Drosophila melanogaster: one gene and its partners. The protein of the gene in region 2 purifies or fractionates together with the protein of the main gene of each other region. This does not show direct contact. Each region holds a gene or a part of one and is shown on either strand. Other genes may lie near its edges. The genes, in order: Pak, Git, pix and stnB.

Region 1 (7,410 bases), on a different chromosome or scaffold from region 2:
AAGTGCTTTTTCCAAGAAGAACATATAATTTTAAATGTAATATGTGCTAGATGTTTTCTAAAGCAAATTATTTAGAAACTGGTGATTTCATCAACACAGTTCGAAATTGGGAACAGTGCAGAAATGATTTAATGCTTGGAGTATTCCAGGGGTGCCAACCTTCTGTTATCTATCGCGAAAAGTGTTCCGCAGCTTATCTTAGTATATATTTCGTTCTGTATTCTTTCCCCAACGTATTGCAATCGCGTCATATGCTTCTACAAAATCACAAATTTGTCATACAACTACAAGAGATAGATTGTTTGCATATATTTTTCTCGAACACTTTGGCGTTGTGTGTTTCACACCATTCTGCACAAAGTTATTCATTTTTGGCTTTTGATTATTATTTTTTTTTTACCGATCTTCATGAAGATCACGTCAATACTGTGTGCTCTAGATTTTTTGGCACGCGGAAAGCACTTTGTTTTGCTTTTTGAATATGTTCAAAAACACAACACCTACACACACACACACACACACTGGTTGGCTGCAGCAGGAGAGGAGACATATAGCCGCAGTTATAAATTTATCAATATAGGCCGTCCGGCGAACTAATTCGGACTGTGGGCCCGCTGCTCAGTTGTTCCGTCAGCGTGTCTCCCACCTTCGAGTGTCACTGCCACTAGAGCAGGCTGCAAAAGGCAACAAACAACATACATCGCTCCAAGAGATTGTCTCGAGCACCCCAGCTCGCGAGAGTGCCTCCCCTACATTGCTTAAAAGCTGATTGATATGGGTATTCGAATTTTGTATACTCTCCGAAGCTAATTTTATAAATTAGTTGAGACTATACATTTCAATTCAGCAATTATTGCGCATCTATGTGAGGAACTTAAAATATTATCCTATTTAAGTTAAGTGTGCATTGATCATAATTGTATACCCACATCTATTCACTTTTAGTTCATTTATTTTAAATATTCATTGGAGCACCTATAGAGCATATGGAGTTAAAAAATATGACCCAAAATGGAATAATCATTAAAGGACTATATTTTAATTTCAGTTTCCATTAGACGCAAACCACTGTTCTCACACAACACACTTTAAGGGTATCCTCTCTACCTCAGTTGCTCCGCTCTCGCCCACGTAAACGATCGAGAGCCATAAAAAATTCGTTGCGATAACAAGAGTGGCTTCGATTGCACTCATAATAAAAACAAAGCAGCTCACGCATTGGGAATTACAGCAACACAAATGAGGAAATTAAGCAGCGAGGACAGCAACAACATAAACACACTCGAGTGGGCGGCATCGCAGCCAAACATATGAGCGAGAGGGCGAAAAGGAGTGGGAGCGCAGAGTGGCGAGGAGAGCAAGGCGGCTTTGGCGCCTGTCTGCTTTGCCGGCGACGTCGACTGCGCTGCTTTTATGATTCATTTATCATCGTCAGGCGTCAAGAGTCAATGCAGCTAACGGGAGGCGGAGAGTCTGGGACGAGGGGGTGGCGAAGTGTGAAAACGTTGGACAAACATTAACATACAGTTCCAACAGCTGTGGTCAACTTAATAGCATAGCGGGGATCTAATAAGATATCAACTCCAACTTTTGAATCATCAGAAAAAAGGGTTCTTAGTGACCAATATATGTACATATATGTGTACATAAGTATATAAGAGAATCATAGGATAAAATACCCAAATCATTATGTGTCATGCGGTTCATTCCGACATTACCTTTCTACCCCAATTTATCAAGTGCAATGTTTTCTTGCTAATTGTTTTTAAATTCACCGATGTAAGTAGATTGTTTACTCAATAGATACGCTCGTTGATTTCAATTACATATGTATGTATGTCGATACATACTGAATTTAAGATAAAAAGTAAAGGAGTATCGACAAATAGAAAGTAGTAAACTTGCTGTGTGATATATTCTTGACCGCAACTGTATATCTGTACTATAGGCTTTATGGGCATACGTTGGTTTACTGGCTGCTTGCCCAGAGATCTATAAACGTATATATGTATGTACATATAATATGCATGCAAACATACACACATAGGTGAAAATTCGTTTTTAAATCAAGCAAGAACAAACTTTTCGGGAGCGTGTGGGCGCCCAGAACTGGGTTAACGATGTACCGCATTGTGTTTGATTTCATTGACGGTCGAACTTTAGGTAAAATCGATAAAAAATGTTTTTCTTTCTGCAGGGGCCCATGCAAAATTATTCCCTAATGAGAAAAACACACATTGTAGGCACAGGAAACTCGACAACACTTGCGGCATTTAAATTAGCGACAGGGGTTGTCAAACGCAGGGGAGCGGAAGGGAGGAGGGTAGGACATTCAAAGTGACGCAGGCCTAGGTGCATGTTGCAACAACAGCGACGCAAACGTGGCGCTCGCTCCAAGAGCTGAAAGAAGCCACAAACATATGCATACTTCTTCGCCACGTTTACGCGGAGCCAAAGTTTGTGATCAAGCTTCTTGATTACTTTGACGACTGCTTTATGTTAACTTTCTATTAAAACTAAACTTAAGAATTTATTCATGGAATTCATTTTACGCAATTTTTCCGAGGATTGCTGTATAAATATGAAGCCAAAACATGACGAAGATCACCTTCTGCTGTCCGAAGACTTTAAGTAAGTTATCTTAGTATCAATATACAAAATGTAAGCATTAAAAATGATACGATGATTATGGTCGGTGCATATTTAGCGAGTTGCCACGCATAACTGCTGGCGACGGAGACTCTCAGCCGCTCCGACGTTGTCTATTTTGGTTGCGGACGCCAGCCGAAAGCAGCAGGCGGAAATGTTATGCCTTTTATATTCCTCTTTTCAGTTCCCTACCGCGACCGCTTCCGCGCGTCCCTGTCCCTTCCGCTTTTACCTGTGACCGTGCTAAGCAAATATGTTTTTCGTTGAACGAAGGAAGGGGGTGGTGCACTGGCGCACTGGACATGTGCCGTTAGAGCGGTAACTGTTAAATGCCAAATCGACTGCGAAATGTTGTTAGTTATTAGAGCTTTATGTAAATGTCTTGTATCGTGTCACGTGTGTTAATAGCGGGGGAAGGGGCATTGGGGCATTCCAGCTTGTTGACATTTGGTTGCTTTATTTTTGGGCTGGAAATTCGGGAGCAGCAATGTGCTAATCCAAAATAATGTGGCGTGGAAACCACTTGAAACGTTTTCCTTTAATCCACATACACGCACACACACACACGTGAGTTGGAAAAATCAATGTGTGCAACCTCTCCTTAGGCGGTGTGTGTGTGCTTGTCTGTGCATTGGAAGCCAGACCAATTGGACTAACGGTGCACTCTCTTTTTATGAATGAAACTCCCTCGCCCCGCTCTCCACAAGACCATTCTACCCGCTCCACTCGGCCACCACTCTCCACTTGAACTCACTGCAAGTACAATATGCCTTGGCTGCCTTTCTTTTGCACGGTGCACCCTGTACGCCGCTTGCAGTCGAAGAAGAAACGCTTGCGATTCACGGATTCGCGTGGACACCACTTCTCCACTGGCTTCTTGGAGTTTTCCGAGCCCACAACACTTGGCCGCACTCGCACACACTCCAAACCGCACACACACTGTATTGTTTTCCAGTTTTCTCTGGTGTGTGTCATAAATGGCCGACGGACGAGAGGCACCAGCAGCAGTTAAAGCGCAGCAATCTTATGGCGCTCCGCAAACTTTCTCGCTTTCTAGCTTCTTTAGCAACGCGCGCGCATTTTCGGTCCTTGCATCACCCACTAATTGGTTTACATTATTCAGGGGTTTGTTAACTACGAAAAATAATTACAGAAAGACGACAAGACGGCCGCAGCAGACAATGTAGCGATGGCAAAAATATATCAATATATCGATAGCGAACAGAAACGAATATATTCGCTCCGTGACTTTTCACAACATATCGATGAGTTTTTTGTATTGTGATTGGCGACCTTTGAAAAAGTGTTTTTCAAAAAATACCACATCAAATTTTGAGTTCATAATAATCTCTTTGTTCCAAATATTTTTATTTCCAACAAATTGCATAGTGCCAATAAAGTTTGGGGCGTGTCTAAATGCCTCCATGAACGATTGTTGACAGAAATGAATGCATTTTTAGATATGGGTTGAAACTTCAGATAGCGAAGTTACTTTAGATGTTTGAACTGGCGAACAGAAAAACAGCCATTATCTAGTACCCTCTTTAAGACTAGGTTTTTCTTTAATTTTGAAAGATGAAGATAGATATGAGCCTAAAGTGTTTTTAAGATGTCCCTGACCACGCTGCGAAACATACAAGAAAGCGCGCAGTCGAAGCGCCTCAGGCACAGCTGCCTCAGACCAAGGAGCAGTTGTCCGAACCGCAGGTAGTTGGATTGCTGCAGGGTGTAGCGGGCTAAGGAGATCAGGGCGGCTTTAGAGTGGCTTCCCAGGATAACGGCATACTCCGCATTGATGGCCAATTCTGTAAAAACATGCAATCGATATAAGCAATTAAAAGTATTAAAATGGGATATACTAATGGTGGTTTGACTTCCTATTAAACTCTTAATTAAATTAAAACGATGTAAAAGGTCTTAAATCTGTCTCTAATCTTGAATCTAATCAAATTTTATGGTTGGTTCAAACAAACCAACTGCACATGCTGGAAAATTTTCTTTTGAATTTATTAAGCCCAAAACGGAAACGTTTTTTCTGGGGTTAAGAAAACTGCTTGGGTGTACTCTTTCATGCAGAATCAAATAGCAAAATCTATACATAGCGTACATAGGATTTAAATTTTCGTCTAAGAAATCACGTCAATATGTGTAAAAACATTGAAAATTGGTTAGATGGCTTCAAACCGCTTTTATTTTTAAATCCTAACAAGCCTTTTTACCGCACAGGCGGAGCTTTACCTTTTCTGCACAGGATTAGGGACTCCATAAAGTTGAGTTCCAGGACGTCGGCCCTTAGCTGGTGGGCCTCGCAAATGAGCCGTTTGAGCTGCTCATCGCCGCAGCCGTCGATCATGGCGCTGATGTCCAGAGACCAGTGGGACGCTCGCAGGACGAAGATCTCGCTCCACACCACCTGAAAGATGGCGTCTTGTTGGCAGCGATCCAACAGAGCGAACTGCTCGTTGGCCTTCGCCTGGCGCAGGCACGTGACAAGGATCTGGGCGAGGATCTGGAAGTGCAGCGCCTGGGAGTGGGGCGTCGGGGATGGCGCCGCCTGAGATGGCGGAGCTTGTCTCCGGCCAGTGCGGTAGAGAGCCACCTGCTGGTTGCGCGGACCGCGCTCCTCCTGAACCGCAGCAGCGTTCATTCCCACGGCCAGGCATCGCTGGAAGCGGCAGGAGGGACACCAGTTCCGCCGCGCCTTGTCCACCACACAGTTCCCGACCAGAGCGATGCAGGCGTAGCTGCTCCCGCGCCGCACGCTCCGCTTGAAAAAGCAGGAGCACCCATCGCAGCAGGACACGCCGTAGTGCTTCCCGGAGCTCTGATCGCCGCACACTGCGCAGGCACTGAAGTTCGACATGGTCACCGGTTGGCACTGCTTGCCAATGAGCCAAAGAGTCGCCGCGGACTGAATCAGCTCATCCCGGATATTGGCGGTTTTATATGCCACCTGGATGTGCTACACCCGCAAATGATATGCAAACCAGTTACACAGAGCAAAAATATGTTTCCTAACTAGAGATGGAAATTGTATTTCAATGGGATCCAAAGAACAAATTCCTAAAAGCGAAATATCACTAAAATATATTTTATTCAAACTTAGGACTTTCAAAACTAGAATGCAAGCACCAGAAACCTTTTAAAATAATTAAGATATTTGTGTAAGAAATATATATAGTTTGATAAAAATTAAACAGTATCGGTATACGATAAGTTTTTGTTATATATCAATCTCGTATTTAAATATTTAGTCGTAGTCAAGTTAAGATATAAATCCAAAAAAATTTGATATAGATTTCTCCCAGTGTAGTAGGGCCTTGTGCCAAAGCGTGATTTGAGGATTTTTATTTGCCCGAGACGCCCCTGGCAGGGGGCGTGGCGCGTCAAAAGTGACAATCATCTACTACTATTGCGGACCGTGTTAACAATTTGTAAACAATTATTGTTTTGCTCTGTGATTGGACGTGCGCTCGCCACTCGAGGTGTCCGCGTTGAGGTCCTTTTGTCCTGACATTTCGGGCAAACAGCGAAGACGTTCTTTGGGGGTTGGGCTTAGAGAAGTTCTTATTCCGGAAATTCTCGAACTGTTTAATTAGACGTTTGTTTTAAGTCGCAACTTTTACCTAATTCTAGGTTAATAGGCGAATCACATCTTAAACAGAGGGATATATTAAATAATGAGTTCAGTCATAGAACGGCTTAGATCTCTTCGTCGGTGATATACACTGATAAACAATTGGGAGCGGGTGGAAGATTGCATTAGTCAATCGAATGATCTCAAACTTGCCTTAGCCAACCATTTCAGGCCTGGAAAGTACTGTAATGCAAGTACTTGTATTAGTCAGTGTCAGTGACTAATTCCTTCCATACTCCTTTCAATAGGTTCATTCCTAGCCAGTTACTAGCTCACGTTGGTCTAAAAATCTTCTTAAAAGCAAGCCCATAAAAAGAGAGGTTGCTCGGATGACAGGACATTGGGCATTTTTTACTAATCTAGTCTATATTCGATTTAGTCCATCAGTAAATGAAAGATTAAATTAGGGTCATTCCAATGATGTTGAAGAACATCAAAGTCTTTAAGGATATGGGACTATTTAACAAACGCTTAGTTAAATTCAAATAGGTTTCTAATAATCCGATTCTCCAAAATATTGTTCATGTTGGTAAATTTAAATGTAATAAATAGTAAAAGATAAGTTCAAAATAAGCTATGTCATTTGTCAACATTTCCGTAACTCTTTTTTGTAACAATATATAAATTTTGCATGAACATTTTATGGTAATGACACCATTTAAATTGTGCAAAATAGCTCGATATAAAAAACATTAATTCTACAACTAAAAAAAATTACCTATGCGGACCGCTTCAATAAAAATGTCTTCCTAGCTAATAAATATTTTAATAAAGCGAAATAAAAATATGACATTGCATTTTCCTAGTTAAATATTTTTCGTCACAAAAGATGACATCAGAACATTTTTATGGCGATGGTGCGATCGTCACTAGTTTTTAGTAAATAATGAAAAATTTAAATCCAGGAGCAGGATATGAATTAAGGAAGGAGAAAAGTCATTTTACTTAAGTCAACAGCATTTATTTTGGTCCAGCTTAGGGCTGGTCGGTCTGGCCAGCAGAACCACGTTTTCCAAAGTCACATCCCTGGGAACATAGAACTTAAGTTCTGCTTGATATCCGTGGGATCGTAGATGCTCCAGTCGTCCATAATCCAGAACCCGCTTGCACTGTTGGCCAATTTG
Region 2 (8,388 bases):
GCAGTGAGCACCTTTACCCAAGGAGAACAGATGATTCCTGTGCTCAATACGGTGGGAACTCACTGTGCCGTCTTTGGCAACCACGATTTTGGTATGAAGAAGATGAGTTTTAGAAGGCATTTTCTAACTTATAATCCTCTCCAGATCACGGCTTGGATGTGCTGGTCAAACTGATCAAACAGACAGAATTCCCCTGGCTCATGTCCAATGTGGTGGACAATGAAACCGGTCGTCCATTGGGTGGTGGCAAGATCTCGCACTTCATACTACACAATCAGATATCCATTGGCTTGATTGGACTGGTGGAGCGAGAATGGTTGGAGACTCTGCCCACCATCGATCCGAATGAGGTGACCTACATTGATTACGTGGAGGCGGGAAATAAGCTTGCCCGCGAGCTGAGAAACGAGGGATGTGACCTCATCATTGCCCTTACCCACATGCGTACTCCCAACGATATTAATCTGGCCGAGAAATGCAACGGCATCGATATTATACTCGGTGGTCACGATCACGTCCGCGAGGTCACCGAAATCAATGGCAAAATGATTGTCAAATCAGGCACGGACTTCCAGCAATTCTCCGTCATCACTATCGAGCGGGATGCCGCCAATCGTGAACATTTCACAACGGACGTCAAGTGCTTCGATGTGACGGCCAAAATTCCGGAGGATCCGGAACTGAAACAGGAGCTCTCCAAATATGCCAGTAGGTGGAAAGAACATCATTTTTGGGTTTTAGTTTAGTTTTGTTTACGGAATTTATTTTCGGCAGGCTACTTTTTGAAGGAAAGATTAAGATTTTAAATTACTAAATCAAGCTAATCGAGTTCCTTGTTCCTTACAGAGTTCATCGAGAGCAAGCTTTCGGATGTCATGGGTGTCTTTAGCGTGGAATTGGATGGCCGTTTTTCCCGCGTACGAACCCAGGAAACAAATCTGGGCAACTGGGTGTGCGACGTGGTGCTTGCCGCCGTTGGCGCCGATGTGGTCATCCTGAATGGTGGCACCTTCCGTTCGGATCGAGTGCATCCGGTGGGTGCCTTTACCATGGGCGATCTGGTGAACGTTATTCCCATGCGTGACCCACTAATCCTGCTCGAAGTGAAGGGTAAAATACTCTGGCAAGCACTGGAGAACGGAGTGTCTGCCTATCCCAAGCTGGAGGGCAGGTTCCCCCAGGTGTCGGGCATCAGTTTCGCCTTCGATCCGCAGGCGGAGCCTGGCAAACGTATTGATCCGCAACTTATCCAGGTGGGCGATGAGTACCTTAACCTGGAGCAATCATACAAGTTGTGCGTCAAGAGTTATATCTTCATGGGCTGTGATGGCTACACCATGTTCAAGGATGCAACTGTGCTGGTGAGTCGTGGCTTTTCATTTGCATAAAGTTCTCGTTTTCAAGCAACTATTACCCCATTGCAGATGGATGATGATGCTTGCCCGGAGTTGGGAATAACTCTGCAGAACCATTTCAAGGCCATCAATTCGAGGAAGTGTGGACAAAACACTAAGCACCGCCAGTCGCTGGTGACCCTTTCCCGGAGGCATAGTCTGGTGCAGTGCCTGGATAGTATGGATCTGGATGGACCATCGCCCATTCGCAAATTGTCCGTGGGCCATCACAACAAGTCGATGGATTTGACACATGGAAATTCTCAAAAGGTATTCGCGATTGAATAATAACTATATATAAATGAAATATCTGAAATGAAATATTTACTCCCTTAAAGATGTTACGACGTGCGTCCTTGGATGACCTGGAGCAGTCCACATGCGATTTGGCGCCACAACTGGAGCACCGTATCGTTATGATTCAAAACGAAGAAGTAATATACAATATTCTGTATATTTAATATAACAATTGACACTAAGCAATCCTTATTCCCGCAGCATCATCGACAGTTACTGTTCAAAAAGGAGACGCACATAATGAATTCCACAATCACCGAAGCTGAGGACGAGTAAAGAACTACCAAAAGTCATTTGATTTACAATTTGCATTTAATTTATTGTATTCTTTATTTCTTTTTCGTTTTTTCTAGTTACAAGAAAATAAGACAAATTGATTTAGGGACAGGTTCCGATGTGGAGAGAAACATTTGAGTACGGTTTAGGCAAAAGCAAAGCGAAGATATAACCATTTAGCTAGTTAGATAGTTGGCAGATCTGTGGGATCGTGTCCTATATTATTACCGTTTATTGTTAATGCTCCACTGTTTTTTTCGGCTAAGTTTCGTTGTGAACGTTTGTAAGACTTCCCCAGAGATATTGATATTGATATTGTATATGATGCATGTGTAGTGAGTACGTGTACCTAAAGCTTACCGCTAGTTTAATTTACTTTTAATTAGATAAACTGATTTACACAACCAACTGATTATTATTACTGTAACTACAGAGCAGCCCTTATGTTTTGTGATCTAGATAACGAAAAGAGTTTGAGCCGAGCTTTTGGGAAAAAACCTTCAGATATTCCAAGTAGTTGTTTTTAAAAAATCCCGAGTCCACGAACACAATCAAATACTGTAGGTTGTACGCAAGCAAATGAAAACCACTGGACCGCGACGAGGAGGACTACGAGTAGCAAACTGAAGGGGCAAGCAGATGTAAAGTGAATGTTAAGCAATATTTTAGACAATGCACCTAGATTTTGAATGTCAAAATGGGATGTGTATATTTTTATGGACACTTTTGGTGCGCTTCGAACATGGCAGAGCATATTATTTTTTAGAGACCGCGAGCACAGTCGTGCAACACTCATGGATAAATGCTTTAATCTTAAATAGTTCCTTGAACTTGCACACCACAACCACCACGAGTGTATTTTTGTCCATAGGCGAGCAATCCGACCACCAGCCGGAGGTCAGAAAAACAGCCAGAGCAAAGGCAGCAGCTACCCACTCAATTACACAAAGTTAAACAATAAGTAGAGGAAGCCACTTATACATATGTACTCCATGCTTAACTGATTGTCCATGCTTAGAACGTACAGTTAACTAAAGTGAACAATATACAGGCTCAAAATGCACCTGATTATTAAAATTATAAAGGACCCATAAATATATATATATATACACAGATATCGTAAATCTTTCCACCTCCTTTGTCTCCCCCCCTTTGAATTTGAGGGCCAATCCTTCAACACTTTTAAACTATTTTGCAATGGGTCATTAGCCCGTAGAAGAACGCATTTTGTGTATATTGAACGAAGTACATTGATTTATGTAAACATTTATTAAATACATAAACTATATGTAAAGGGGATTCTTTAAATTATTTGGCGGAAGCACTTTTGTTAGTCAGCAGGGCACTAAAGTGGTCGGTTAATACTTCAAAAAAGAGTGAGTGAGTTTAAACTTCTATGTCGATGATTGTGTTTTGGGCGTCTCAATAGAACTGCAACACCAAAGTCTTTATGGCACTGGCAATGTGGAAGGCGCAGTCGCGCACCTCCAAGGTGTTCTTCTGTATGGCCTGCTTGTCATCCGCCTCGATGGCTTTCTGCAGATTCTCGCACTCGTGCTGGATGAGAATGTTCTGGCGGGTTAGCAGTTTAAGGGTTTCGCGAGACGGGTCACTGGCATTCGGTGGCTAAAATATATGTTTATGATTATGAAACATCCTTATAAAGGAAGCCCCTATGTTCATCTTACCAAATTGGCATAAAGGGCAATTAAATCAGTCACGGCACTTCGTATAAGCTCTCCATGTGGAGCAATCGACTGCTTTTGATCCTCTGGCACTGGCTGCATAGCTCTTATGAGCTCCTTAAGACGGCGTGTGACCAAGTCAGAGCGCACTTTGACCTCCTCACCAAAAGGTTTGCCATCCCCAGCCATTTGGTACATGCTGGTCGTATTTCGTATGTCCGTATTGCCCTTGGCCACATTGGGTACCAAACGACGCTCGTACATGCTGGCTGGACGCTTGATGGTCGATTGATTTGACGAATCATTGGAGGAGCCGCTTTCCCCATTGGCAGTCCCACCTTCGGGTAGCGACAGAGGCTCGTGCTCTGTATCCGGACTGCTCAAGCTCAGATCAATGCGACTATGCAAAGGAAAATTTAAAACAAATCATAAAAATAAAGCTAGCCAAATAAATTCAAATGAAAAATCTCACAGTGGCTCATCGTACACGCTGTTGTTCGATGCGCTCGAGAACTTGGACTTGAGCTGCGTGTTCTCGCTGGACAGCATCTGCACCACGTTCTTTAGCTGATTGATCTCCGATTTGTAATCGTTCAGCTGTTTGCGCAGCGTTTCCATTTCGTTGTGCGAATTCGCGCTGCGCGGTGGCGTATGCACAATGGCCTAAGTAAAATAAAAAGCATAAAAACAAGGAAAATAAATCAATATAAATCAAGTACAACTAATAATTACAAAATCTTTAAAAATAAATATTGCATAAAAACAAAAGGCAAGGCAGACAAATCACGGTACCAACTACTACTTATTTAAACTACATTTTCACAAGTATCAGCTAGTTTTATTGAGGCTTATGTTCTACATTTGGACTTCTACCTTTGAAAATGGATTAGGTTGCCTAAAATCAGGGAGCTATAGTGCCCTGGCCTACGGATGAACACAATGGGTACAGCACGGGTTGTCTAAATGTCAGTCTTCGCTTACGCTTCTAGCCAAAGCTATTGTTCAGCTTGAGTATCTTTTGCCGCATTAGGTTTACCTGCTGGGCCATTGGTGGCACTGGGGCATAGTCGTCATCGCTGGCCACCGGATCATAAATGGGCTCGTCGTCCGACAGATTCGGATCATGACCGCCCTGCTCGAACGAGCCGAGCAGCATTGAGTTGTTGGCATACGGCAGCGATTGCAGCGACTGGTGCCCGGCCACTGGGGCATCCATTGGACGCAGGTTGGCCATATTCTGGCGTCGCATAGCATCGACGAGCACGTCGGTCAAGAGACCAGTGAACTCGGCGCGATTGAAGCGTGCCAATTTCTGACGACCCTGTAGGCGAGACCATGTCAATGAATGAAGGTTCGAATCATTAATGTACGGCGAGGTCAAACCTGATTGCGCGTGGCGCTCAAAAATGGATTAGCCGGCAAAAATGGCACAGTTGCATGATCAGCATTCAGGGTGCTTGTCGACCAGACTATTTCGTTAAGAAAAATAAGATTAGCTTTGTTTGTAGTCTATGTTTAGCAGTCATACTCACTGGCTTCGCACTCGCGTCTGTCCACCTCATCGTATAGGTCCATGACCAGCTCCTCAAACATCTTATTTGGCACGAGTTGCAACTTTCCACGTGCAATCTTCAGTTGCTCGCTTATGTCCGCGCCATTGGCATCCGGAATAATCATGTGGCGGCCACTCTACGTATGGAAATAGTATTTAAATAGAACGGAATAAGGAAATGGGTAGGAAAGGTCGAGTCAACTGTGCATTTGCTCATGGAAATATGAATCCATTAAATAAATATAGTTCTGTGACTAACAAAAATTTAAATAGATAGTTATAAACTTTAGACTGAAGACAACTTAAGGAGTTACAAGGATATAGCTTAATTGGCTTAATACATATATGATTAATCAATGGATAAGGTTAAATGGTTTGTCCAATTAAAGTATAATTTCACTCTGCAGGTAATTAAAGATCTAAACTCACCGCATGATCTGGCTTCTTGCCACCTAGGAAGGTAATGATCCTGTCGGTGACATCGTACATGGCATCAAGCAGTCTTTCGGCGATGGTGTTATGATTGTTGGCCCTGGCCAGTTCCAGAGGAGTCATCCCATTGCCATCCAAGGCATTCACATCGGCTCCATAGATGAGCAGCATCTCGATTTGTGATGCCTGGCCAAACTTGGCGGCCATGTGAAGTGGCGTTGATAGCTTGTCCTCGTGGTAGTAATTTGGGTCTGCACCCTGGACCAAGAAGCGCAGTGAAGTCTCTAGATTGCTGGTCCGCACGCTGGCATGGAGCTGTCTACTCAGCTCCTGTTCCAGACAGCCCGCTGAGCCATTGCCATCATCGTCATCCTGGAGACTGGGTTTTAGCACGAACGTTAGATTCACATGCTTGGCCTTAATAAAATCGGATTTGGTGGGATGGAGTGCATCCTTGGGCGTGGGTTTCCGCCAGCGTGGCACGTGCTTTCCGCCGGTGGAGTTGGTGCTGCCATCCAGCAGATGATGCTCCCAAACACTATTGGCTCCATGGGCGTTTAGAGAGTTCACAAAGTTCAGAACCGAGGGCTCCCAGTTACCCTGGCGTAGAGACTTCACAATGGAGATGTGCCTGCCCAGACTGCGGTGCACCGAACAGCAGTCGGCGCAGAGAAGGATGCCCCGGTTGATGCTCGCCCAGGATGGATCACCAGCTCCGCAATCGCCACAAACTTCGGTTTGCAGGCGGGATTTCCCCCTCGGCATTTTGGATCTGGTCGAAATCGTGGGTGTGGCTGGATCGGAATGATCCAAATCCGGCGGCGCTATAAATAACTTCCTGTGCGCTTCGATTATACTGCTGGCGAAACACATTCAGCATTCCAAGACGCTCACAAGCTGCAGGGGAGATACGAAAAATAGAATACCGAAGTTGAAAAAAAACTCGGACAATCTCAAGTGACTTCGTTGTGAGTCAGTTGCAAGCTGTTGGCTTTCTGATTGGAAATCCGAAACGCTGGCGGTGAAAGGTCAAATATCAGCAACTGGGGCTCACCCCTGGCCATCAATTAGGAAAATTACTTTTAATTAAACGCGGGGAGCAGCAGAAGAAAACATTTGCGGACGCCTTTTCCGAGTTTGTTTTAGTTATTTTGCGCACCAGTGTGACCAAACAGTAGCAGTGGAAAAGCGCTAGATTTGAAGTGAAAAGGCTGACGAATGTAGCAGCTGTGTTTGTGCCTTTTCAAATTTTAAAATCCATCATATACCCAGTATTACAGAAGTTGCAATATTTATTCGGTCAAAATTTTGCAATGGTCTGCAATACCGAAAAATCAAAAACCAAACAGGTGTAACTTTCGTAACTAGCCCTGCCAGACTTTTCAATATTGTCGGCTGGCCTCACTATTCCAGCTTCTTCACAACATATAGTTGTCTCACTTGCACTCCCTTAGAAATCATATGTTTATGAACAGATGAGACAGTTTTAGAAGCACTGCATTATTTGAAGCACATGTGCCAAAACAAAACAATTTCGCCGACATTCAATTCGAATTTAGTTGTCATTAAAAAATAGAAGTGCAACATTAGCATGCAAGTGGAGAATCTGCATACTTCAGTGGCCTGCAACCGCTGCACGGAATGCGCGGATTGGGGTCCAAATGGTTGGATTGCCTATGGGGCATGTAACGCCATAGCCATTATGGATCCAAAGGTAGGAAATTTTGCCTTTACTGGAAACATAGTATATTTAACCAATTTTTAGTTTCAAGGCAACTCAGCCAAGGTCCTGTTCACGCTGGTGGAGCACACAAAGCGAGTAAACACTGTGAGGTGGTTGGATTGCGACAAACTTCTTTCCGGCGGAGATGATGCAATTGCTATTCTCTGGGAACTGGATGAAACGGGAACGACTAAGAGCTTCACTCTCAAAGGACACACAAGTGGCGTAAATACTGTGGATGGAATTCGCCAACAGGATGGCTCCTGGCTTTTGGCGACCGCAGCAGCAGATACCACCATCAAGTTGTGGACTTTCCAGGATAATAATTATGTGTGCTTTCAAACCATATCTTTATCCGACGGATTCTGCTTCTGTCTTCGACTGCAGCTGCTGCCCAAGAGCAACCAGGTTCTGCTCGCCTTCAGTGGCGATGACGAGACTGTTTCCCTGTGGTCGGAACAGGTAGAAACCGCAGGTGAAGGAGATTCACTAGGTCGGCAGTTCCAACGCAAACACAAGCTCACTGGCCACGAAGACTGGGTTCGAGGTCTGGATTTCGTTGTCGATGGCGAGGATTTGCTGCTGGCCAGTGGCTCTCAGGATAACTTTATTCGTCTCTGGCGGATTGCGCCGCGCAGCAAAGAGCAAATGCAAGAGAATCGGGTTGATCTGCATCAATTGAGCCACAACGACGATGAGATAAAGGTGGAGGAGAAGATACTACAACTGGGGAAAGAAGCCTGGTATGCAGTGAGCTTGGAATCGGTTCTATATGGACATGAGGGATGGATTTATGGGGTCCACTGGCACAAAACACCCGATCAAGGTAAAGCACAGCAATTGAACTCCCCAAAGACCTTTCAAAAACGTTATCCATTTAGAGCTCCGCCTTCTATCCGCTTCTATTGACAAGACCGTCATAATTTGGGCACCTACGGAAGAAGGCATTTGGTTGGAAGAAGTTCGCGTGGGTGAAGTGGGTGGAAACTCCGTGGGCTTCTATGGTGGAAAGTTCTCCGGCGATGGACA
Region 3 (7,421 bases), on a different chromosome or scaffold from region 2:
AAAAGTTAATTAGTGGGGGCCAAATCAAATCGGACACCCCGCCGAGGGCGACACCATGGAATTCGCCGACCTTATAAAGACCCCCAAGCTGGACGGTGTCCTGCTGCACGACCCATCGAATGCGGGGGCGTCGGGTGCAACAGTTGGCACACTGTGCATCACAGGGCACCATTTGCTGCTCAGCGCCCGCCAGGAAACCAGCCAGGAGCTATGGGTAAGTGGGTTGAGGCCTGCCCACCTAATCCGATGTGCTTCGGCATCAGTGGAGCGCTCATAATTGAATTAGAAATTCATCATGCTCATCCCCCTCTTTTCAGTTGCTCCACAAGAACATCGACTGTGTGGAGAAGAAGCCTAGTTTGTCGCAGAATATCGTGGTCGGTGGGATTATCACCCTGAAGTGCAAGGACCTGCGCATCATTTCGTTGGAGATAAAGTGCGGCAAGGAGTTCTTCAACGTGGCCGCATCGCTGGAGGCACTCAGTGCCATCCAGAACACCGAACTGCTCTATCCATTCTTCTACCGGCCCATGTACTCGATCCTAGAGGACGGCTACACGATGTTTAGGTGGGTACACGGCTTCTCCATAACTAACAAATTGGCTACAATTCAATTAACCTCCCCATCCAAACGACAGGCCCGAGCTGGAGTTCGCCAAACTCATAAGCGGGGTTGGCATGGGCGGTGCGTCCTCGCCGAATGTGGCCAACATAACAATTTGCATGCCATCAACTTCGACATCGACGTTGACTGTGGGCGCCGGCATTCCCCATCCTCTGCAAAATGGCTATGCGATAGAAGCCCTTGCGTGTGGTGTTGGTGGTGTGGGAGGTGGTGCGCTTCAAAGTCCCCAGGCCTCCTGCGAGTGGCGCATCACCAACGTCAACAGAGACTTCAGCGTCTGTGCCACATATGGCGCCACGCTAATTGTACCTAAAGCAATTACGGACGAGCAGATAGTGCTCTCCGCTGCGTTCCGCGATGGCGGCCGCTTCCCCGTGCTCAGCTACAGGCATGAAAATGGCGTAAGTCATTGCATCTACATCATCAAATTTTATTAAATTAATTCAATGATTCATATTTGCAGGCCACACTAATGCGCAGCTCCCAGCCGCTGTCCATTCAGGGCATCAAGCGCTGTAGAGCTGACGAGGCTATCCTTAATCTGGTGCTGGGTCGCAGTCGGAAGGGGTTCATCGTGGACACTTGGGGTAAGGGCAAATCGAATACGGAAACTGACCTGCACTACTCGCAGTGGAAGAAGGTAAATCGTTCAATTGGAAACGTCAGTTCGCCCGCCTCTATTTTGGACAGCTTTGCTCGGCTTATCGAAGCTTGCAACGATTTGGGATGCAGTACTGATAAATGGCTATCGCGACTGGAGAACAGCGGCTGGCTTAGTCTTGTGCTGAACTCACTGAACGCCTCCTGTGTGGTGGCCCAATGCCTGGACCAAGAGGGAAGTCCAGTGTTAGTGCACGGTGCTAAGGGGTTGGACTCCACGCTTATAGTCACCTCACTGGTGCAGATCATTCTCAATCCGGACTGCCGGACTGTAAGGGGGTAAGTAATCATATTCTCCTTACCTTGAAAAAGATATTTATGCCGTGTTCCCTTTGCAGCCTGCAGGCTTTGATAGAGCGCGAGTGGATCCAGGCGGGACATCCGTTCGCCTCGCGTCATCGCTACTCATGCTATACACCAAATCAGACACGCAATAAGACCTCTGGTGCCACCTTCGTCCTATTTCTGGATTGCATTTATCAGCTTTACACGCAGTTCCCCTGCAGCTTTGAATTCAGCACTCAACTGCTGATCCTTCTATTTGAGCACAGTCACTTTTCGCAGTATGGAACTTTCCTGTGCGATTCAGAGCGGGAGAGAAACGAACTGAATGTGCACACCAGGACGACGAGCCTGTGGTCTTATTTGAACCGGCCTGATGTCCTTCAGACATTCTTGAATCCGCTGTACGAGCCTAATGCCAATGTGATATGGCCATCGGTGGCGCCCATAAGCTTAGAGCTGTGGAGTGGTATGTTTAAGAACTTAATATATGAAACATTACTCATCAAACATGCATTTTAGATCTCTATTTGCGGTGGGTGATAGATCAACGCAGCTCAGTCACAGTCATGTCGCAAATTCAGGAACTTGTCACCCGCGAGAAGGAACTCAGGACTCAGGTAAGTCCACTTGAGTATTGATAGCGAAATGCTTACTGATGACATGTATCTTTCAGGCCCTCAAGTTGCGCAAACAAGCCATGGAGCTCGGCCAGGAAGTGTCCAACCTCATGAAAAGTGGAAACGATACATAGTCGGCTACCTCAAATGTTCTCTATCTTTTAATCTCCTGCATGATATACACTTATTTTTGATACGTTCTGTTGCAAGATTTCGACAATTATTTAAGCACATAGCAAAACTAATGTTAAGTCACTAAAAGTTCCATTTACAAGAAATTATGCTGAAGGAAAAAGAAAATAAACAAGGTAATTAAATTATTGGATAAACCATAGGATCTGCTTTTGGATCAACTGAAACACTCAATTTTAGACATACATGTGTCCATTTTTACTAACTATACTTCTATTGCATAAGTTCGGCAAAACAGTAAGAAAACTCTCCTTGTAAAACGCTCTCTACTCTCAGACTCAGATTGGGATTCGAAACAGCACAATGCAACTATCAAATATTTGGGTCAATTTTTGACGCATTTACTTTTATGGAATTTTTAGCGTATAAGTCTCCAAAATTACCTATTTATAGTACTTACTTGTGTCAGTTATTTAGTGGTCAACAAGCCACAGATCAAATTAAGTATTATAAACTCAAAAGATTTGCCTTTTTCGAAAAATTGTATGTAAATTTGATTAAATCGCATAAATTTAAAGCTTCAAAAGCGTTTACATTAAAAATATGCTGTGCATGCGTTGGTATATCTAAAAACAAATATTGTAAATTATATACTTATAAATGTTTGTAGCTGTTATTCATTGTGCGTCGATTTCGTATTGTGATCAAATTTGAAATGACAGAAATTTGTATGTAATTTACATTTGTATTGTGCGTATTTTGAGTAATTATCGCTTAAGTGCAATAAATACGTGTTAATTTGCAAACGTTAGCTCTTTTAAACTCGCAGGATTCTATGAGCACCACTTTAGAAAAAAGAACTTTCAAATGCAGTTTTGTATAAAGAAAATTGGTTTATTTTTGCTAGACTCATTTAAAACAACATTCTGTTGTTTCGGTTCACTATTTATTTCGCTGTAAAAACGTATATAAAACTCACTTTAATCAAGTACAATTAATCCCCAATTTTCGATTGTACGCAATCCTCGACAACAATAACAAATTAATTTGAAAGCAAATGTGTTCTTCAACGAAAGAATGCAAAATGAACGAAGGAAAGCTGAGGAGAACATAGAGAAACGAGCTGTCCCATCGAAGTTGCCCGTGATCCTGTCTTAGTTGCAGGCTTCGTCCTCCAAGAAGAAGAACTGGCCGGAGCGTTTCTGTTCTGTGTCCTTGACCGAATTGTTTTTGTTAATGCGGGGTCTGAAGTTGTTGGGATCGCGACGGAACGTAATACCAAGCAGTTCGAGGAAGCGGTTCATGCCATTTAGCAGCGACTGCGGCGAAAAGGCTGTCGTCTTCACTGAAGGCTGACCCTCGATCACGATGACACGGTCGGCGAGGTAGGTGGCCATGATGAAATCGTGCTCCACCACAAATCCAGTTTTCTTGGCGTGCAGAATGTAACTAAAACGAGATACCATCAATATTTGTGTGCAGATTTAAAGTCTATGTAAAACATACCGTTTGATAACCTTGGCGGCCACCAGACGCTGCTCTGAATCCAAGTAGGCAGAGGGTTCGTCGATGAGGTAGACATCCGCTGGCTTGCCAAGACACAGGACCAAGGCGACTCGCTGCAACTCACCACCGGAAAGGTTCTGCACCTCCTGGTCCATGATTTCCTCAATTTTCATGGGTTTCATAACATCGGCAATAAACTGAGGATGCACGTAGGCGTCACGAATCTTATCGTGCAATAAATGGCGAACATGATTTTGGAATTTCGGGGAAATCTTCTGGGGCTTGTAGGAAATATTCAGCATAGGCAGTTCCACCTCGCCATCGGGTTGGAGGTTACCGGCCAGCATGCGAATGAACGTCGTCTTTCCTGTACCGTTCTCGCCCAGGAGCACCAGGATCTCGGAGTCGCTGAAGTGACCCTTTTCCACCGTCAACTCGAACTTGCCCAGGGTCTTGACCATGGCGGGATATACGTAGTGGTTCATGCGCTTGATCTCCTCCTCCGTAGCGGACTCAGATACTTTGAAAGTAAGTGACTCAGTGCGGAATCGCATGTTTTCGGTGGGCACAAAGCCATCGAGGAAAATGTTGATGCCTTCGCGCACAGAGAAAGGCATAGTAACCACACCGTAGCAGCCGGGAACTCCGTAAAGGCAGCATATAAAGTCAGACAAGTAATCCAGCACAGACAAATCGTGCTCCACCACAATAATAAACCTGCATATTACAGAACCACGTCATAATTTTAAACAATGGCACATTATTCATCAACTTACTTGGTGGGATGCAGGAGTGATCGAATGGTCAAGGCAGCGTTCAGACGCTGCTTAACATCCAAATACGAGGACGGCTCGTCGAACATGAAGATGTCTGCATTCTGTATGCATACCATGGCGATGGCAAAGCGTTGCAGTTCTCCGCCAGAAAGCTGAGCGATCTCACGATCACGGATGTGCGATAGATCCAGCATTTCACAAATCTTAGTCTGCAGCTCCCTCTCGTCCTTCTTATCCAGAAGATCGCCCACAGCGCCACGCACCGCCTTGGGGATCTGATCCACATACTGCGGCTTGACCAGCGCCTTCAGATTGTCCTCCAAGATCTTGGTGAAGTAGTTCTGCAGCTCGGAGCCGCGGAAGTAGCTAAGGATCTCCGTCCAGTCGGGCGGATTGGCGTACTTCCCCAGGTTCGGCTTTTGTTTCCCCGCGAGGATCTTCAAAGCGGTCGACTTGCCAATACCGTTCTGTCCCACAAGACCGAGCACTTCACCGGGACGCGGAATGGGCAGACGATGCAGCTTGAAGGAGTTCTTGCTGTATCGATGCGTTGTGTGCTTCTCCAGATTGCTGGGCAAGTTGATGATTGTGATGGCCTCGAAGGGGCATTTCTGGGGAATTGAAAGCACGGGTTATTCCGGGAACTACAGCAGTTGTAGGTAAGCTGACCCACCTTGACGCAAATACCGCAACCGATGCACAGCTCCTCGGACAACGAGGCTATCTTGGACGTGGGCGTCACCTCGATGCAGAGCTTGCCCATGCGCACCACTGGGCAGGTCTTCTTGCACTCCTGCCGACACCGTTTGGGCTTGCACTTGTCATCGCTGACGATGGCAATACGCGTCTGCTTGTCCACCTCCTCGTTCTCCTTTCTGCGCGACATGCTGTTGATAGTTTTCAAATGAGCAAATTAAACAGAATTGGCTTCGATCCACTAATCAGCCGCCTATATGATAATCAGTCCATTGTCAACGTTGCAAATCACCATCCCCGACCGTCAAAACAAAACTGGTGCACCGATTCATGGACACAAGAGCGGGGGTGAGGTGCCAGCGTTTGTCAGTGAGTGAAAGTATAACCTCAAAGCGTGGCCAAAACAATGGGTTTCCACCATAAATTTCTATTGTCTCTCATGCGTCAGGCATTGTTCTTAAATTTCACGTTGACAGAGTGCTGAAATATTTGAAATTTACCTGCGAACTTGGCCGAAATTGTTGTAAAACAGACAGAACGCACGCTCTTGCGTGTCAGCCAACAAGTTTCAAAAGGGGGGAGCTTTGATGAGTTTCTCAACACTACTACGAATAGGGATGCGCCGTTGAAACTATCGATATCAATAAGTGGGCTTGAATTTCGTATAGCATGTTTATAATTATTTATTGTTTTGTGCAGTTATTTTTACATAACATAAGTTTTATAATGTTTCAGGGATTTTATTTAAAGTAAGCTTAGTGACAATCAAATAAAATTTATAACTTCTATCTCTCAATATAGGAACATGTAATTTCCGAACTGATAATATATCCTATAAATAAATATAAATATATATCGCACAAGAGCCGCTCTTAATAATATCGATTATTTAGTGTTTTTGACAATCCCATTGGAATTGCAATCACTAATTTTTACACGTCGTTGATTTGTGTCGACTGCTAAGAAAATGGTCGTGCAAGAAGATAATCCAAATACTGGGGACGTTCAGGAAAAGACGGAGACTGCTCCGGTGGCAGAGCCCTCCAAGATCTTCACGGTGGAGAGTAAGTGCCCCAATCGCCTACAGCCAACTGCCAGGTGGCCCAGACGCCCAACCATTTAACCTAAAATTTAATGCTAATGCCCTGAACTTTCACTCCTGCTGCAGTTCTGCACATGATTAAGGATGCCCAGCAACAACACGGCCTGCGCCACGGCGACTTCCAGAGGTACCGCGGATACTGCAGCCGCCGCATCCGTCGATTGAGGAAGGCCCTGAAGTACCCCCAGGGCGACAAGCGGCACTTCAAAAGACGCGACGTGACCATTGGCCAATTGACAGGCAAGAAGGCGGACGAGCGTTTCATCCACATCCCATTGATCTGCGCCGAGCGGGCCTGGGCGTATGCCATGCAGCTCAAGCAGGAGTCCAATACGGAGCCGCGAAAGCGTTTCCATCTGGTCAACAAGCTGCGCAGGGCCTGTTTCTATGCCCTCCAGCTCCAGGAGTTGTGTAATGTAAGCTGTAACTCACTGTTATGATTAATGTTTATTGAGCTTCATTTATAATTTTCTTGTAGACGGAGGCTTTCGATGCGCGCACTAAGCTAGAGTGCGAAGCCTATGTTGCCTGGATGCACGGAACCCTGCACTTTGAGCTGCAGCTATGGAAAACCGCTGGCGAGCACCTAAAGCGCGCCCAAGTGGTGTACGAAAACCTGGGCAAGGCTCTGCCCGAAGATGAACAAGAGCTTTACCGCGCTAAGGTTAATGAATTTACGCCCAATCTGCGCTACTGCGCCTACAACATCAGCGGTGGCGCCAGTGGCGGCAAGATCGACGAGATCCTGGAGCTGCGCGCTCAGGGAGTGCTTGAGAATCTTGACGTACTGGTCAGTCAGACAAAGACGGAGAGCAGCGAGGGCCTGCAGACGATCGACTGGCGCGGTCGCAAGGTCACCGTGCGTCCGGAGAAGGTGCGTTTGTTCCTGCTCAGTGCTCAGGAGTTGGACAAGTCGCTGGCCAAGACCACCAAGCAGGATGCCAAGATAGAATTGATTGAGCGTATTTTGATGGACTGCAAGGATGCCATCCAGGCCGTTCGCGACGAAATCAAACAGGATC
Region 4 (7,598 bases), on a different chromosome or scaffold from region 2:
TTCCTAGCTTAGGTAGCTAACATGAAATTCGTAAAACTACTTATCTAAAAACCGACTCGTCGCTGGGGCAATCTGAATAGCACTTAGCTCTAAAATATGCTACAACCGCTCACAGGTTGTGATTCAATTGAGTATTTTGAAGTGTTGAGTAAACCCAGTTCAATTTGGGGAATAGGTTCGTTCGTTCGTTTAAAATCAATGAACTAGGTCGTTCATTTAGTTCAATCGTTCATTTTTTAAGCTTGCTTAAAGGTGCTTCACAATAAATGTTATGAGTTTATCTCATACAATGCTGACATTAAAATTTATGTCAAAAACAGTTATACATAATAATAATAAGTAATAAATAACAAAGAGTTTACAACTATATTGAACTAAGTGAACTATAAAGACAGACCTAGTTCGTTCGTTCAGTTTGGGGAATAGTTAAATTTAGTTCGTTCGTTCACGAACGACACAACACTAGTGAATACTGTGTTGCAATGCACTGTGGTCCAGAATTCGATTTTTTTGGCATAAAGTCTAAAAATTGAGCTACAGACTTGAAACTTTGTACATTTTGTTGTTAAATCCCAAATAGTTTGCCCACAATATTTGTGCGACCACGCCCTCTCTTGCCTCCCCCACATTAACAACTGGTATGACTCAGGGTCAACGAAATTTTATTGTTTTTTTTTTTTTTAATAAAAGTGTGTATTGTATGTGTGTAGTATTGTTTTAAAAATAATCGCCCTCTTCTTCTTCTAGTTCTACATAATAAATAAAGTATGACAGAAGTTAAAAATAAAGATTGATCAGAAATTGGTGTGCCAAGTGCTTCAGTTTCAAATTTCTGCTTGTAAGCACTATGACCAGTTGTCCCATCAAATCTGTAGCTGCAAATTAATTTGATTATAAAGATATCTGGAAATTGCTTGAAAACATCAGATTGCAACTTAATTAATTTTTGCGCTGTATGATCCAAGAGATTTGTAATAGCACTTGAGCATTACATCTGTACCCTCTGGTCGGCACTGCAATTTTGCTTCGATCACTTCATTATAGGTGTTTCTGGTGTTATCTGGTGTTTTTAAAGTTTCTTTAAGAACAAAGGCAACGTCCCTTTTGCATTTCTAGCAGAAACAGTTGCTGCATGAATCAAAAGACTTGTGTCGTGATCACTTTTACTTGCCCGATTGGATGCTAGTTTCCTTTTTAATCTTTCTCCTGCATTTTGCTAAGATAAGTTTCGGCGTCCCATTTAAATCCAATTTAACAAGAATTGTTATCTTAGACGCCATCCATTTGGTATGTTTGGAAATAAATCGGTCTAGTTGTCTGTTACACTCGGGCAGTTTTCTTTTAATAAATAATTCAAAATGTACTATTTTTTTTCAATCTCTTGCGGAATAAACGTAATCTGAACCATACATTTATTTGCCTATTGTTACGCCTCCAAATGTCCAGGAGGTCGCTATGTCTGAACTTTAACTTGCCTATATAAAATGTAATTTTAAGAAAACGAGCAAAAATGAGAAAAATATATTACTTTACCGTCAAAGATAATAGTTAAAGGTACAAACTGACGTTTTTAATTTTTTTCAGAAAATTAGTTATACTCCACGAAACACAGGGGACACGTTAGTATTCTCTGTTAAAATACACATAAATTGACTGTTACACAACACAAAAACAGTGCAACTACACATATATTAACTACATACGTTAAAAACAACATACCTTGGCATTTATTTTCCATATTTTATTATAATTTATAATATAACATTTTAAATTTATAATTTATATATATTATAATTATAATTTATAATAATAATAATAATAATAATTTATGGATGCGTATTAACGATCGTACCACGTGCAAAAGTAAGCAAATAATTTGGCGGGAATTGCATTCTCTCAATCAGCTGCTTAACACTTTTTTTTTAGCAAATCGATAGAAATTTAAAATTATAAAAAAAAATTTCGAAAAATGATTAAAAAATGTGGGTATTTCATACTTTTAAACGAATCTAGTATACCCTTTTACTTGACGAGTAACGGGTATAATACGTTTTTTTTAATGTTGGTGCTGAGAGGGTTAGGTTAATTTAAACATTATGCGATTATTTGAATATGAACGAAATATCACGTGTCGTCCATAATATTTTCAGGGCTGAAATATGTTTAGGATACGCATGCGTCAGAAATCAAGACTTAATAAAATGCCTAGTGTCATATGACAGTGACGCAGATGACAGCGCTTCTCTTTATATCCGTTACTTGTAAAGTAAAAGGGTATACTAGACTTGTTGAAAGGTATGTAGCAGGCAGAAGGAAGCGTTTCCTAACATATAAACTATATAACAATAGCCACTTCGATCTGTTCCTGTCCGTCTCACTATTTTCAGCAATTATTGGTTATTTTCTGTTTTATTATATTTTCCCAATTTTTACCAATATTCCAAAAAATATTTGAATTTCTCGTTTCCACTTCCAGTTGAGTAAAGGGTATCTGATAATTGGGGAACCGGACTATAGAATCCTCTCTTGTTTAAGTCTTTCTTTTGCAGAGCTTTGAAGCTTTTAGAGCAGAAAAATCACACAGGGATAAAAAATACCATAAAAAAGGGTAATGTCAGCTGTGGAAGGAAACTTCCTTAAGTACAGTGCTTTTCAGAGCTTTATGTAGCTTTTAAAGGATATACCGTTGGTGCGCCGTACCGCTGTTTCTCCTCTGCTGACGTCGCAGCTTACGAAAAGCACTTCCTACGGAATTTCACGACATTTAATTCATTCTGTTCTAGATTTCCCGATAGTTCAAATCAGAGGTAAAGACCCCGAACCGAATCAAAACGAAAAACTAAAGTCCTCTGAAAACAAACAACGCTAGGTACTTGTGTTAGCTCTTTGCTTATTTTAAAGTATATGCCAAAATATTATCTTCGAAAACAAGTGAGAGAAATGTGTTTTTTTTTTTCGTACAATGATAATTGTATGCACAAGAGTGAGACGTAAGTTGCATAATTTCCTGAAGGAAAACTTCGGAAATTCAGCTGCGTACATTTTTTCGAAGTGGGGATAGGCATACATATAAAAGTTACAGTTCTTTGGGCTCCTTCCTGTACCCATAAATATATAATTGTAGAGCTTAACTTTTCTATGTGCCGCGCGTGTGTAAGTGTCCAAGTGTGTGTGACTTGTAGTGCGGGGGAGCTGTCTCTTTTGCACGAATCCGTCGTCTCTAGAGCATCGATTTTTCCAACCAACTCTCATTAGAAAGGAGAAGAAACAGAAAGAAAAACTAAGAAGAATATATATTGTAAAATAATATATTGTAAGATCAAAAAATACTCGAGCGATATGCCAAGTGACATGTGTGCGAAAATAAAAGCTATTTAAGCTTTGGCAAGGAAGTGCGTCAACAAATGATATTTTAATGTGACGTTCAGGCTAGATTAAATAAAAATGAGCAAACCAATTTTTATTTGTACCTATTATTCAACATGGATAGAATTTTGCCTTATTGTATGTATTATGATATGAAATCAATTTTTCATAGAGATCCTTAGGTTTTAGATGCTTACAAGGGGTCTAAATCCATTTTTTATTGTTAAAGTTTTATTGTACATGTAATCCTGTTCAAAAGTCGGTATTCTATAATACCTACTTTTGCATTAATATTCTGAAAGATGTAACCTAAACCGCATGAAAACCGTTTTGAAAAATGTATTAAATGGTACGTAATCAGCGAACCAAATTAACGTTCTTTAAACAAGACAAGTGATTAGCAAAAATAAACAGCTAAAATGTTAAAATTTGTGCTTAAAACGTAATAAATTCGCACTGTCCTAAGTGCAAATAATTGGTATAAACAATGTGTCTGAATATAAATGTTGCCTATTGTAAAATCCCAAATGAGAAGACTTTACTCGTTGAGTTTTTGTAAGAAACTAATTTTATTTGGAAATATCTTCGGTTTAAATAGGTGACATGAGAATCGCATCTTAAAGTAAATGGCCTACGCAGAGGCCTAAGTAAATAGTCCCCGCCTTATCGAGGTCCCACGCTCGGGCACATCTGCCTATCTTGAGCGGCGAGGACCTTATCTGTGGTCTCCCACTAAGGGACTATTTTAGGAGGCGGGGAACGATCTCAAGTGACTGACTCATGTAGTGTGCACTTAAATTACATGTTTTTGAGCAATGCACCCATGTCGCCTTAGATAACAAAATCCTAAATATAATTTATCGCTCTCGATTCATTTACATAAGATATGAACGGAGCCCAAAATTGTAAGTCTTTAAATATATTCGTGTTCATGTGTGAACATTCTGCCAAAGGGCCAGCAAGCTGAGATGTACATTAGTATATTAGTTGCATTTATAACAGTAGTGGACTGTATTTATTTGATATATGTTCATTTATTTTGCAACTAAGATTTCAATGGGCCTAGTTTTTCTGGCTTTTAATTTTATTGGATTACAATTATGGTTTATATTATTTTTAATTCAACAATTTGTACTCAATTAACTTATTTTAAACATTTTGCTTTTTCTATGTAGAAGTACATTTTCTATTAAACAACGATATAGTGGACTGTATATTTTTATTTGTTATATTATTTTATTGTTTATTTACTATTGATATTTATAGTACTGGCAACGGACCTGCAAAGGTTATTGCTTGCATTCTTTGTTGCACAGCACATTTCCGTATGAAATATATTATTAATACTATCATTAGTATTAAAGCAATAATTAATCCAGCATGTCCGGAAATATGATGGAAATGTAAATCTTTCAATTTTTGATGGTTCTCTTTCATAAATTTAATTTCATTATTCAATCGTTCAAATTCCTCAGTATGATTTAATATTGATAGTTTCAGCGGATCCCAAATAATCTTCGGCGCTTCACTAACTTCTCCTATATAAGGTGTTGATAATAATTCTTCACTTTCGGACTGAATGTTATGGTGGGCAACTAGAATTTTATCGTCGGTTCTTGCCGTACAATATGGCGCAATGCTTAAAACTCCTTGCTGAGGCAAATCAAACAATTCAATTTGAGAGCCAGTACATTGCAGACGGACTTTTGAATTCGCAGGAACCTTAAACAACCAACTACTTTTCTTTTCTAACTCTACCCAGTAACTTTTAGAGTCGACTACTGTTTTATAGATGCAGTTCGCCGCTTTATCTGGCTTTAGAGGCTGAATCTCACATGCATTATCATTCGCTGAATTCCAGGGCCAACTTCCTTTGCATATTCTCTTATTTAGTTGCCATTTCTGACATTGATTTAATGTGGCTTCCGTCATTATGTGATAGGAATCTATCTCAAAATTATAAATTAAATATTCGGACGTTGTATGCACCATTATTATCCGATCTTCATTTCGAATTGGCACCGGAATAAGCCTGAACAATTTGGATGGATGCCTGCTAAACAGAGGCACTTTTGCACTAATGATCAATTTATCGTCGATGAATAAACCCCTGGCTGTTAACAGTGTATACACCTCCTTAAGTTCCGTACCTGACCGTTTTCCTGGAATTACTAGGTTCTCCGAAAGACTCTGCTGAATTTTGGCAATTTCTTTTTTAAGCTGATTTGGCCTGAGAATATTTGTATTTAGCCTACCGTGATTAATATCAATCAACAGGCTTATAATGCCTGCTTGAATTTTTTCGCCTTCTTCAATCAATGAGTGTAGCTGTTTCGTAATCATAAAGAATTTTATTGATTCCTTATAAACATAATAATTTTCTTTAAGAACTTCTGTCATGTTCTCAATTCTTATTTGCATACTTCTAAAATTGGAGTTAACATCTTCTGTTGTTCTCTTTAATAGATTAGAAGTTGAATCAACCACAGATGTTTGTTTTTGAATTAGTTTATCAAGGTTGTTCTGGTTATCTAACAAATTCTTCATATTTTCTTCTAATTGCTCTCTATCATCTTCATCCATTATACCAAATAAAATATGATACAAGGAACCCATAAATTCGAAAGGAGCACGCTTGCTTCTAGATCTAGACTGTATCATAAACAATTTATTGTTTTCTTCAAGTTCCGATAACTGACTTTGCATATTATCTAAGACTAGACTACATTGCTCTTCAAAGCTATGAAGTCTTTCGCAAACTTTCCTCATACTTTGTATAAGCGCATTACCCTTTGTTAACATTTTAAAATATGGATCCATTTTATAATAGATAACCAAATTCCAAGAAGTACTCACAATCTCAACATCTCCTAGCGGGTCTAGATATATTGCTGAGGTTTTATTTATTTTGTCTATAGAATATCTTGGTGCTATATCTTTAGGTAATGCGCTAGAAACTTGACAACTTAACACAAACAACAACATTGCCATAATGATTCCGATCTTGGACATTCCCGATGTCGCTCTAGTTCGTCTTTTTGGCTCTTGGTCAGCCTCATTTTTGTCAACAGACTTTATTCCTTCCAAGGGACAAATTTTAGTAATGGGTCTAGTGATATATCCTTCCTGCATTTTTACTTTAGCCACTCGGACCTTATCATCATTCCCCTTATGCACCTTTTCCACCTTTCCTAAAGGCCATCTTGCAGGATGACAATTCTCATCCTTTAATAAAACTATTTGCCCTTCTTCTATATTAGGAATTTCCTTTTTCCATTTATTCCTTTGCTGGAGCGTATGCAAATATTCACTTTTCCACTTAACCCAGAAATCTTTCTTCATTTTTTGGATAAGTCTCCACCTATCCAAATTTCCGATTTTTTCATCTTCCATTGGTTCGACTATTTCTAAAGGTGGTCTTCCAATTAAAAAATGACCTGGTGTTAAAACTTCTTGTTGGTCCTTCTCACTAACTATAGTGTATAATGGCCTTGAATTTAAGCATGCTTCTATTTGACATAAAAGAGTTGACATTTCTTCGTAAGTCAAAATAGTGTCGCCGATTATACGCTTTAAATGGTATTTCATTGACTTAACTCCAGCTTCCCAAATACCTCCGAAGTGAGGTCCTGCCGGGGGAATAAAATGCCAATCAATCCTGTCCTTTTCAAGCTGCGCTGCAATCGTTATATTTTCTTGTATTGCATTAAATAACTCTTGATCTAATTTTCTTGCAGCTCCTACAAAATTTGTTCCGTAAGTGACTGTGGTTAATTTATATGTTTTAATTTTTTCTTTTGGAGAATTTCTCCATAAAATATATTGATATTTTTGATCATTATTATCTATTTTAATTTGTCGGTACATCTTTTCAATGTCTGCCGAAACAACAAATTCCCATTTTCTCCATTTAATAATAATGTCAAAAATATCTTTTTGAACTCGTGGCCCAACCCACATTATGTCGTTCAAACTTTTGTTATTCGTAGTTTTTGCTGAAGCATCAAAAACTACTCTCAATTTGGTCGTAAGGCTTGAATCTCTAATCACTGCCTGGTGCGGTAAAAAATATTTGCCTTCATCACTCACTTCAATCATGTGTCCTAAATCCATGTATTCATTCATGAATTTAGTGTAGTCAACCTTAAGTTTTTCATTTCTTTTTAGTTTTTTCTCCAGATTCATGTAACGAGCTATCGCTTGTTTCTTTGAATCTCCTAAGGTGACATCCT

What was found.
Region 1: the proteins of Git (region 2) and Pak purify together in Drosophila melanogaster (affinity purification with western blotting, with the first as the bait; one study listed by BioGRID). This does not show direct contact.
Region 3: the proteins of Git (region 2) and pix purify together in Drosophila melanogaster (affinity purification with western blotting, with the first as the bait; one study listed by BioGRID). This does not show direct contact.
Region 4: the proteins of Git (region 2) and stnB purify together in Drosophila melanogaster (affinity purification with western blotting, with the first as the bait; one study listed by BioGRID). This does not show direct contact.

What each region holds. Positions count from the first base shown.
Region 1 is NT_033777.3:6,347,345-6,354,754, reverse strand, and holds the start of Pak (p21-activated kinase), read right to left. Parts: upstream 3,860-7,410; 5' UTR 3,404-3,859; intron 1,633-3,403; exon of another isoform or gene 1,216-1,632; intron 668-1,215; exon of another isoform or gene 505-667; intron 318-504; exon of another isoform or gene 160-317; intron 1-159. Other genes in the region: Hr83 (hormone receptor 83), read right to left, coding at 4,243-4,454, 4,888-5,512; CG18048 (uncharacterized protein), read right to left, coding at 7,237-7,410.
Region 2 is NT_033778.4:10,638,622-10,647,009, forward strand, and holds Git (G protein-coupled receptor kinase interacting ArfGAP), read right to left. Parts: upstream 6,807-8,388; 5' UTR 6,717-6,806; intron 6,534-6,716; 5' UTR 6,510-6,533; coding exon 5,634-6,509; intron 5,342-5,633; coding exon 5,185-5,341; intron 5,122-5,184; coding exon 5,036-5,121; intron 4,974-5,035; coding exon 4,689-4,973; intron 4,316-4,688; coding exon 4,125-4,315; intron 4,053-4,124; coding exon 3,656-4,052; intron 3,594-3,655; coding exon 3,390-3,593; 3' UTR 3,197-3,389; downstream 1-3,196. Other genes in the region: CG11883 (uncharacterized protein), read left to right, coding at 5-91, 145-708, 847-1,361, 1,425-1,664, 1,733-1,828, 1,893-1,967; Elp2 (elongator complex protein 2), read left to right, coding at 7,228-7,350, 7,402-8,185, 8,241-8,388. UniProt on the Drosophila melanogaster protein: GTPase-activating protein for ADP ribosylation factor family members, including ARF1.
Region 3 is NT_037436.4:8,968,860-8,976,280, forward strand, and holds pix (pixie), read right to left. Parts: upstream 5,907-7,421; 5' UTR 5,798-5,906; intron 5,559-5,797; exon of another isoform or gene 5,489-5,558; 5' UTR 5,488-5,488; coding exon 5,275-5,487; intron 5,213-5,274; coding exon 4,602-5,212; intron 4,543-4,601; coding exon 3,826-4,542; intron 3,769-3,825; coding exon 3,474-3,768; 3' UTR 3,197-3,473; downstream 1-3,196. Other genes in the region: CG5026 (uncharacterized protein), read left to right, coding at 56-214, 318-568, 639-1,026, 1,089-1,564, 1,624-2,036, 2,090-2,187, 2,244-2,321; Srp68 (signal recognition particle 68), read left to right, coding at 6,265-6,361, 6,466-6,815, 6,878-7,421. UniProt on the Drosophila melanogaster protein: Plays a role in translation initiation and quality control of translation. Together with pelo and HBS1, is required for 48S complex formation from 80S ribosomes and dissociation of vacant 80S ribosomes.
Region 4 is NC_004354.4:22,999,821-23,007,418, reverse strand, and holds the start of stnB (stoned B), read left to right. Parts: upstream 1-2,770; 5' UTR 2,771-2,869; intron 2,870-7,598. UniProt on the Drosophila melanogaster protein: Adapter protein involved in endocytic recycling of synaptic vesicles membranes.